2 linked regions of the Macaca mulatta genome follow. The protein of the gene in region 1 interacts with the protein of each later gene in a pairwise test. Links are inferred from orthologs where the notes say so. Each region holds a gene or a part of one and is shown in the gene's direction. Other genes may lie near its edges. The genes, in order: PAK1 and RHOJ.

Region 1 (3,665 bases):
CTAAAAATACAAAAAGTAGCCGAGTGTAGTGGTGGGCACCTGTAATCCCAGCTACTTGCGAGGCTGAGGCAGGAGAATCGCTTGAAGCCAGGAGGTGGAGGTTACAGTGAGCCAAGATCTTGCCACTACACTCCAGCCTGGGCGACAGAGCGAGACTCTGTCTCAAAAAAAAAAAAAAAATAATAATAATAATAATAATAAACCCTTAGGTCTGTAACATATTTCGTAAGTTTACAAAGTACTTTCAAATACACTATCTTATTTTTACAGATATGTGAGATGGGCATTATCATCATCCTTACTTTACAGATAGGGAAGTTGCACATAGTCTCATGGCCTTTAAATGTTCAGCCTGATCCTTAGGTCATACTCTTTCCAGTATATATACACAGCTGCTACTTTGCATCCTAGAGCATAAAGCAGCTGACCATATTTCTAGAATGTGTATATGGAGAACAAGAGAGAGCCTCAGTTGGAGTTCAAGGTGATTCACCATTTTTATTGCCAGGCCTTGTACCTCATTGCCACCAATGGGACCCCAGAACTTCAGAACCCAGAGAAGCTGTCAGCTATCTTCCGGGACTTTCTGAACCGCTGTCTTGAGATGGATGTGGAGAAGAGAGGTTCAGCTAAAGAGCTGCTGCAGGTAACTGTCCCTGTGCAGGGAAGCACCTAATTCAGGGAATCACTAAACCAGGCCTTTTTTACTTCATGTTTGTCTGTAAGGTACTGGATATTATAGAACTAGGCTTCTCTTTTACCATTTCCTACCCTCACTCTGTTCCTACTGCTCTAACTTTTATCCCTGGGGCTTTGCTTATTTATTTTCTTAGCCTCTTTCTTGGCCTGTTAAAACTCTACACATTCTCCTAGGCTCAGTTTACAATCATTTTCTGAGCACCTATTGAGCTTTGCTTGTAGCTTGCTTCCTTCCTTCCTTCCTTCCTTCCTTCCTTCCTTCCTTCCTTCCTTCCTTCCTTCCTTCCTCCCTCCCTCCCTCGCTCCCTCCCTCCCTCCCTCCCATCCTCCCTTCCTCCCTCCCTCCCTTCCTCCCTTCCTCCCTTCCTCCCTCCTTCCTTTTCCTTTCCTTTCTTTCCTTTCTTTCTTTTCTTCTTCCTTTCCCTTTCTTTTCTTTCCTTTTCCTTCCTTTCCCTTTCCTTCCTTCCTTCCTTTCCTTTCCTTTCCTTTCCTTTCCTTTCCTTTCCTTTCCTTTCCTTTCCTTTCCTTTCCTTTCCTTTCCTTTCCTTTCCTCTCCCTCTCCCTCCCCCTCCCCCTCCCCTTTCCCTTCCCCCCTCCCTTACTCTCACCTCCCCACAGGGTCTCACTCTGTCACCCGGGCAGGAGTGTACAATGGTGTGATTTTGTCTCACTGCAGTTTTCCTCTCCTGGGTTCACTCAAGTGATCTTCCCACCTCAGCCTCCCAAGTAGCTGGGACTACAGGTACATGCCACCATACCGGGCTAATTTTTTAAAAAGTTTTTTGTAGAGACGCGGTTTTGCTGTGTTAGCTAGGCTGGTCTCAAATTCCTGGGTTCAAGCGATGTGACCACCTCGGTTTCCCAAAGTGCTGGGACTACAGTTATGAGCCACCATGCCCGGCCTGCTTGTATCTTTCATTAGCACATCCTTTGTTCTGTTTGAATTAGTCTGGCAGAGTTTGTTTGAGTCTTGTTGAGAAATGGCTCTCTGACATCCAAATCTTACGCAAGTTATATTTTTGCTGGGATTAGCTCAAAGGATACATTTTTAGCAAAGGAACATACGTTTATTTTATTTTATTTATGTTTTATTTTTTGAGACAGGATCTCTGTCTGTTGCCCAGGCTGGAGTGCAGTGGTGCAGTCATGGCTCACTGCAGCCCCAGCCTCCCCAGGTTCTGCTGATCCTCCCACTTTAGCCTCCAGAGTAGGTGGGACTACAAGCGTGCACCACCATACCTGCCTAATTTTTATATTTTCTGTAAAGACAGGGTTTTGCCATGTTGCTCAGGCTGGGCTCAAACGATCTGCCCGCTATAGCCTCCCAAAGTGTGGAATTACAGGCATGGCATGAGCCACCATGCCCATCCATGGAACATAAGTTTAGAAGATAATTAGTGAGTATGGCTTTTGGAGTCTATACTTTCTTCACTGGAAATCCTCAGATAATGGCAATGATACTCTACTTGTTGAGAGTGAGATTTTGCCAGTTTGTGGAGAAACCCGGAGTCAGGGGTTTACCAGGCCTTTTATACTCCCACCCCCCTAATCCTGATAATTTTACATGGTTGAAAAAATTGCCTTTAGCAGGCCACGTCATTTGTATTTAACATATTTGTTTCCAGTACAATTTCTTATAACAAGTGTTCTTTTATTGTATTGCCCACTAGTGATTTAATAGTAAGTATCATGTGCAACTTTATGAAGGCATGCACTGTCATTTATTTTCGTATTATAAAGCCCAGGAGTGACAGAGCAGGGCAGGGCAGGGCAGGACCTAGCATACTGCCCTGTGTTAATTATGAATCTTTCCTACTGGATTATAACCTCTATTTTATTAATCCCTGAGTTTCTTGTTTTACCTAGAACCTGACTTAGGATAGGTACTCAAAAAATATTTATTGAATTGAATGAAATTGCTGGAAGAACCTACATTGGAATATCATCCTCTGGAACATATTTATCATCTCTTTGTAATTGAGGTTACTGATTATGGAGTACTGGCCTATTAGATATGAGATCTGGGTTCTGCCAAGTGTAACCCATTAGTCTCTAGTATCTGTTGGGACTAAAAGTCTCTTAGTACAATGTAGGACCCCTTTTGCTGTTCATGAGAGTTGTATTCTGCAAACTGTAGGCACTGGGAAATGTGTAAATACGATATGCTAAGCCTATGATTAGTAAAGATACCATTCTTAATTAAGTACCAAACTATAGTTCTTGAAAGGTTAGTGCCCTCTAAAGTTTTCTTCCTGATACAGTAATATAACTAGTAATAAATGCATTATATTGAATCTTTACCATATTTTAGGCACTAAACACTTTATATATTTAGGCACTAATAAGCACTTTATATATTGTCCTTCACAACAACTCTATGAGTTATAGGTTCTGTTATTCTCATTTTTACAGATGAGGAAACTGAGGTTTCAAGTATTTAGTAACTTTTCCATGATAGCTGATATGTGGCAGATCCAGGATTTCAGCCTGTTTGGCTCCGAAGTGTGTATGCTCTTGGCCACTGCTCTTACAGGCTCAAAGAGTATCACAACTGGAAAGCCCTTAGGGCTCATCTAGTCTGTTTTGTTTATTAGACAGAGAAGGAAACTGAGGCCTTCCAGTTCGGTGTTGGATCATGCTGCTCTCAACTTAGGGGAATTGTAGAAACATGTGATCTGAGAAAGCTGGCTTTTTAACTTGTTCGTGTACATTGTAAATATTGAAAACCATGACTTTGAGAATCGTAAATCATAAAAGCTTCACATCTGTTTCTCCTGTGAGAACACACTTATGGACAGAAATACATAGGATGATATATATTGGAATTCCTATCTTCATGATTTAGCTAGGATCTTTTATTCCTTTCATAGTAATAGTACCTTCTTGTTCTCAGTAGCTCTTTATACTATCTCTGTCCCAACAGAAGTTGAAAAAATTCTCAGCAAAGAATATTGTATATATGTTTC
Region 2 (3,921 bases), on another chromosome or scaffold:
CTATGATAAATGCTACTATAATCCCAAACAGAAGAAACTTAAGACTATACCTACTATATGGCAGCATATAGATGATATGTGGGTATATCTATAACAGACTTTTCTCCCATCTCACCCCTCACCAAAAAAAACAAAGACAAAAAACTTCTCAAACAATTGGATAATCTGAATTCTTCAAAATCAATGTTCGAAAACTGAAAGTGAAAAAAACAGAGTTCCCTCATTTTGACCCATTTGTCAAAAATCATTTGCAGACTTCCACTTCTTTTCTAAGACCAAGCACATTAATCAAATACAGAGCTTCAAAGGGGCTTCATTTTGAGTGACGGAACAGACAAATAAATTAGCTGCCCATGGCTCCTTTGTAATTGAAGAGGACCAGTCTGACCCAAGGGGAGAAGACTAAATCAAAAAGCAAAACATCCAAGTAAAAACAACATCGAGGGCCTTAAACAAACCAAAAAGCCATCCTATACCCTCTCGTGTCCAAGGGTGTTATGTATGAGCCAAGCACGTGTGTGTTCATCCACTATATAAGAGAATGCAAACATCCCACATGTGATTGATTTCTTATGTGCTACCATCATAAAAATAAGTTTGTGTCTGGAATACATATTCCAGACATGTGGCAGTTTATAAACCTGATCATGCATGTTACACCTACAACTTACAAACATTTTTCTCTTTGAAATGATGTGACTCTAGAAGGTTTTCTTCTTTATTTCTGGGAAGAATCGCTTCAAGTTTCTCATTTAAGTAAGTAAAGAACTGCTCGTTTTTAGTTTGAAGAGCTTTTAACTAGTGACTCAGTGAAGAGTGATGTCATATGTTATCCTAGGACTGCTGGTGTGGTTCTCTCTGCTCATTCTAACCATTCCCCCTGTTTCTGTGGCAGGCAGTAATCCCCGGTTTCCATCCTCTAGTCAGCTTCTTCCCAGCCAGCCATAAGCGAACAGCCTCACAAGCAGCGGATGAAACAGGAAGTCTGACAGCTTGAGTCTGCAGTGGGACCCCTAGTGTTTTCCCACTCCATGTCCTGGCATCGTTCCCCAGAAGTACAAACACACACACACACAGAGCTCCCATTGTTGCAGCCTTCCTCAGCCCACTGATCCTAATATGGAATGCAGCAGGAAACCCATGATTTCCTGACACTCGGCAAGCTGGAGGAAGCAAGGGGAAAAAACTCCATTAAAAAGCCCAGCTTTCCTCCATGTTAGATGTGACTTGGAAAATGAGAAAGATTTAGCAAAATTCCACCGTGTCTTTTGCCAGGCTGGAGACAGGGAGAGCAGAGTAAAACCCTCAGGCTGCTGAAATTTCTAGGCTGTGAGGAAGCCCCTCAAATTCTGTGAAAATAAGGGTTTCTTAACTCACACTGAGAACGGAAAGGGGCAGACCCTTTTCATAACTCCCCCAAGTGTGTGTTACCTTTCTTTACCAGCATGGTAAGCAACAGGGCATATCCCAGCCTCGGACATGTCTGTATGATCCAAGGTACCCAAAGTCAGACAGAGTAAATTCAAGCCTGGCACTGGCTTTCCGCCGCTTCATGTGCTTTGGAAGAAGCAGGAGAAGCAACAGCAGCAGCAGGAGTCCCCAGCAGCTGGAGCCGCAAGAATGAACTGCAAAGAGGGAACTGACGGCAGCTGCGGCTGCAGGGGCAACGACGAGAAGAAGATGTTGAAGTGTGTAGTGGTGGGGGACGGTGCCGTGGGGAAAACCTGCCTGCTGATGAGCTACGCCAACGATGCCTTCCCAGAGGAATACGTGCCCACTGTGTTTGACCACTATGCAGGTAAGAAAAAGTGGGAAACTCTCTGCATCCAGATAAACGATGCAGGAGGCGATACCTTAAGTTCAGAGGGGCCTGGCTCATTTCTAATGTCAGTATTGGGTGCGGGCCTGGCAGTAACCAGGGAGTTTAGCATAGTGTACAACCCAGGACTTGACTGTTGGTAGAACAATTTGTGCATCAATTTGTATGGTAACACTTTTTCTCCCTTAAAGCGAATGGGTAACGGCAGGAAAATACTCTGACGTGCCTTCTAGATTTGGGGGACAGAGATTTTACTCAACATTTGCCTTAAGATTCATTAAAGTTTTACTATGAACATTTTTAAATGCAGTGTAATTGCATCACAATTCTTTTCTGCCAAAAAAAGAACCACCACTAGACACACAAATGGTAAAAGGATTGTTCTTGCCGCTCTTTGCGTATTCACCTCATGCCATTTACAAATGAAAATGCTAAGATTAAGAAAACATTCATTTTTTCTAAAACAGTTGGTGCTGTAATACTATAGTTTTATTTTCCTGGGGTTGTAGATTGGGGGAGAGTTTTTAAAAGGTTCTAAATATGTATTAGGCAATCTGTATCTTAAAAGAAAAATGTTTAATTAACATGTTTTTAAAAGTAAAAATACAAATAAAATCTGAATTATTTTAAAGTATGTCCTGAAAGGACAAAATGCACATAAAATATTTTAAAGCATGGCAGTTAAGACACTGTAGTCACAACTTGCTGGGGACTTTTTATTTTTTGAGTGTTCTAAAGTTTGTAGGTGTACTTGTCTGGGTGATAGTATTATCTAAATTTTTCCATTTTGATTCTGACTTTTTCTCTTAATTTCCAAAACAAATTTTATTAAGTTTATCAAAAGCAAGTTAATGAAATTTTTCAAGCTTATAGTAGCTTACATTTTATAACTTTTTAATCATAACGATCTTTATCAGAGATCTGAGACCTTGTGAATGGAAAATTTCTCCTCCTTCATTTTGGCTTTGGGTCAGGTTCAGCAAAGGGGAAATGGCCCACAGGAAACCAGCATGAGTGTCTGCTTGGCAATGTGGCCATTTGAAATCCTCCTTCTATAGAAAGTAGCTTCTTTTCCAGAACTAAGCCATCACCTAAGTCACTGCTTCCCCCAACACTTATATGATGTATGAAAATATTACACAGCAGACAGGGAGAGAACCACAGTGAATACAGTATCCATCTCCCAGCAGGTTTTTCTATATTTGTAGAAATTAAGAGCAAATTTTAATGCTGGCTCACTTAAGCCTTTCTGAAAATATAATGACTCTGCCCAGAGAAGAACATTTTAATGAGAACAGAATAAAGAGAAGAACAGGTTGACTTTCATCTTGAGAAAAAAACTAATTATAAAATTTGAGGGTCTGCGCCTTGAGAAAGTTCCTCAGATTCTTGTCCTGAAAGCATCTTAGCAAAAGTTATTTATTCTACACCTTCTTTCTGCCAAAAAAGGGAAAGTGGCTACCTTATTTCAGAAACTTTTAAATCAAAGGTAGAACTCAAAATCTAAAGGGAGAGGCTTCAAATGCTTATGAAAATTATGTATCCAAATCCCCATGTATTCGGGGAGCCAGTTACAGTATGGTATCAGGAAAAAGGAGAATCAAGTCAGCTATAAAAAAAACCACACTAGAAATCAAACAAAGGCTGAACCACAGCTAGATTCCACTAGGCTCCAATAATTTTATATTTTAATTATGTACATACTTACTATTGTTGAGCATTAAAGAATCTTAAAGATTTTGGCTAGTCTATTATTTTAGCTCCCAAGAAATCACAGCCACTATACTCAGAGCAATACTTTGCACATAGTAAGCATTCCTAAACATGGTTACTTTGATGTACACTTTGTACCTCAAGTGTGTAATCATCTCATGTGCTTTCAGTAAGGTTAAAAAGAGAATGAAGACATGAGCCACATACATCTAGGACTGTAATGAAGTCGTCTTTTTTTTTTTTTTTTTTTTTTTTTTTTTTTTTTTTTGAGACAGAGTCTTGCTCTGTCACCCAGGCTGGAGTACAGTGACGTGATCTTGGCTCACTGCAACTTCCACCTTCCAGGTTCAAGCGATTCTCCTGCCTCAGCCTCCCGAGTAGCTGGGATT

Evidence for each region.
Region 2: the proteins of PAK1 (region 1) and RHOJ interact in binary tests that used the Homo sapiens proteins (3 or more experiments, as listed by UniProt). The link is inferred for Macaca mulatta from reciprocal best matches to the Homo sapiens genes PAK1 and RHOJ.

What each region holds. Positions count from the first base shown.
Region 1 is NC_133419.1:77,744,953-77,748,617, reverse strand, and holds part of PAK1 (serine/threonine-protein kinase PAK 1), read left to right. Parts: intron 1-508; coding exon 509-646; intron 647-1,375; coding exon of another isoform or gene 1,376-1,429; exon of another isoform or gene 1,430-1,441; intron 1,442-3,665. UniProt on the Homo sapiens protein: Protein kinase involved in intracellular signaling pathways downstream of integrins and receptor-type kinases that plays an important role in cytoskeleton dynamics, in cell adhesion, migration, proliferation, apoptosis, mitosis, and in vesicle-mediated transport processes.
Region 2 is NC_133412.1:136,279,762-136,283,682, forward strand, and holds the start of RHOJ (rho-related GTP-binding protein RhoJ), read left to right. Parts: upstream 1-1,210; 5' UTR 1,211-1,620; coding exon 1,621-1,798; intron 1,799-3,921.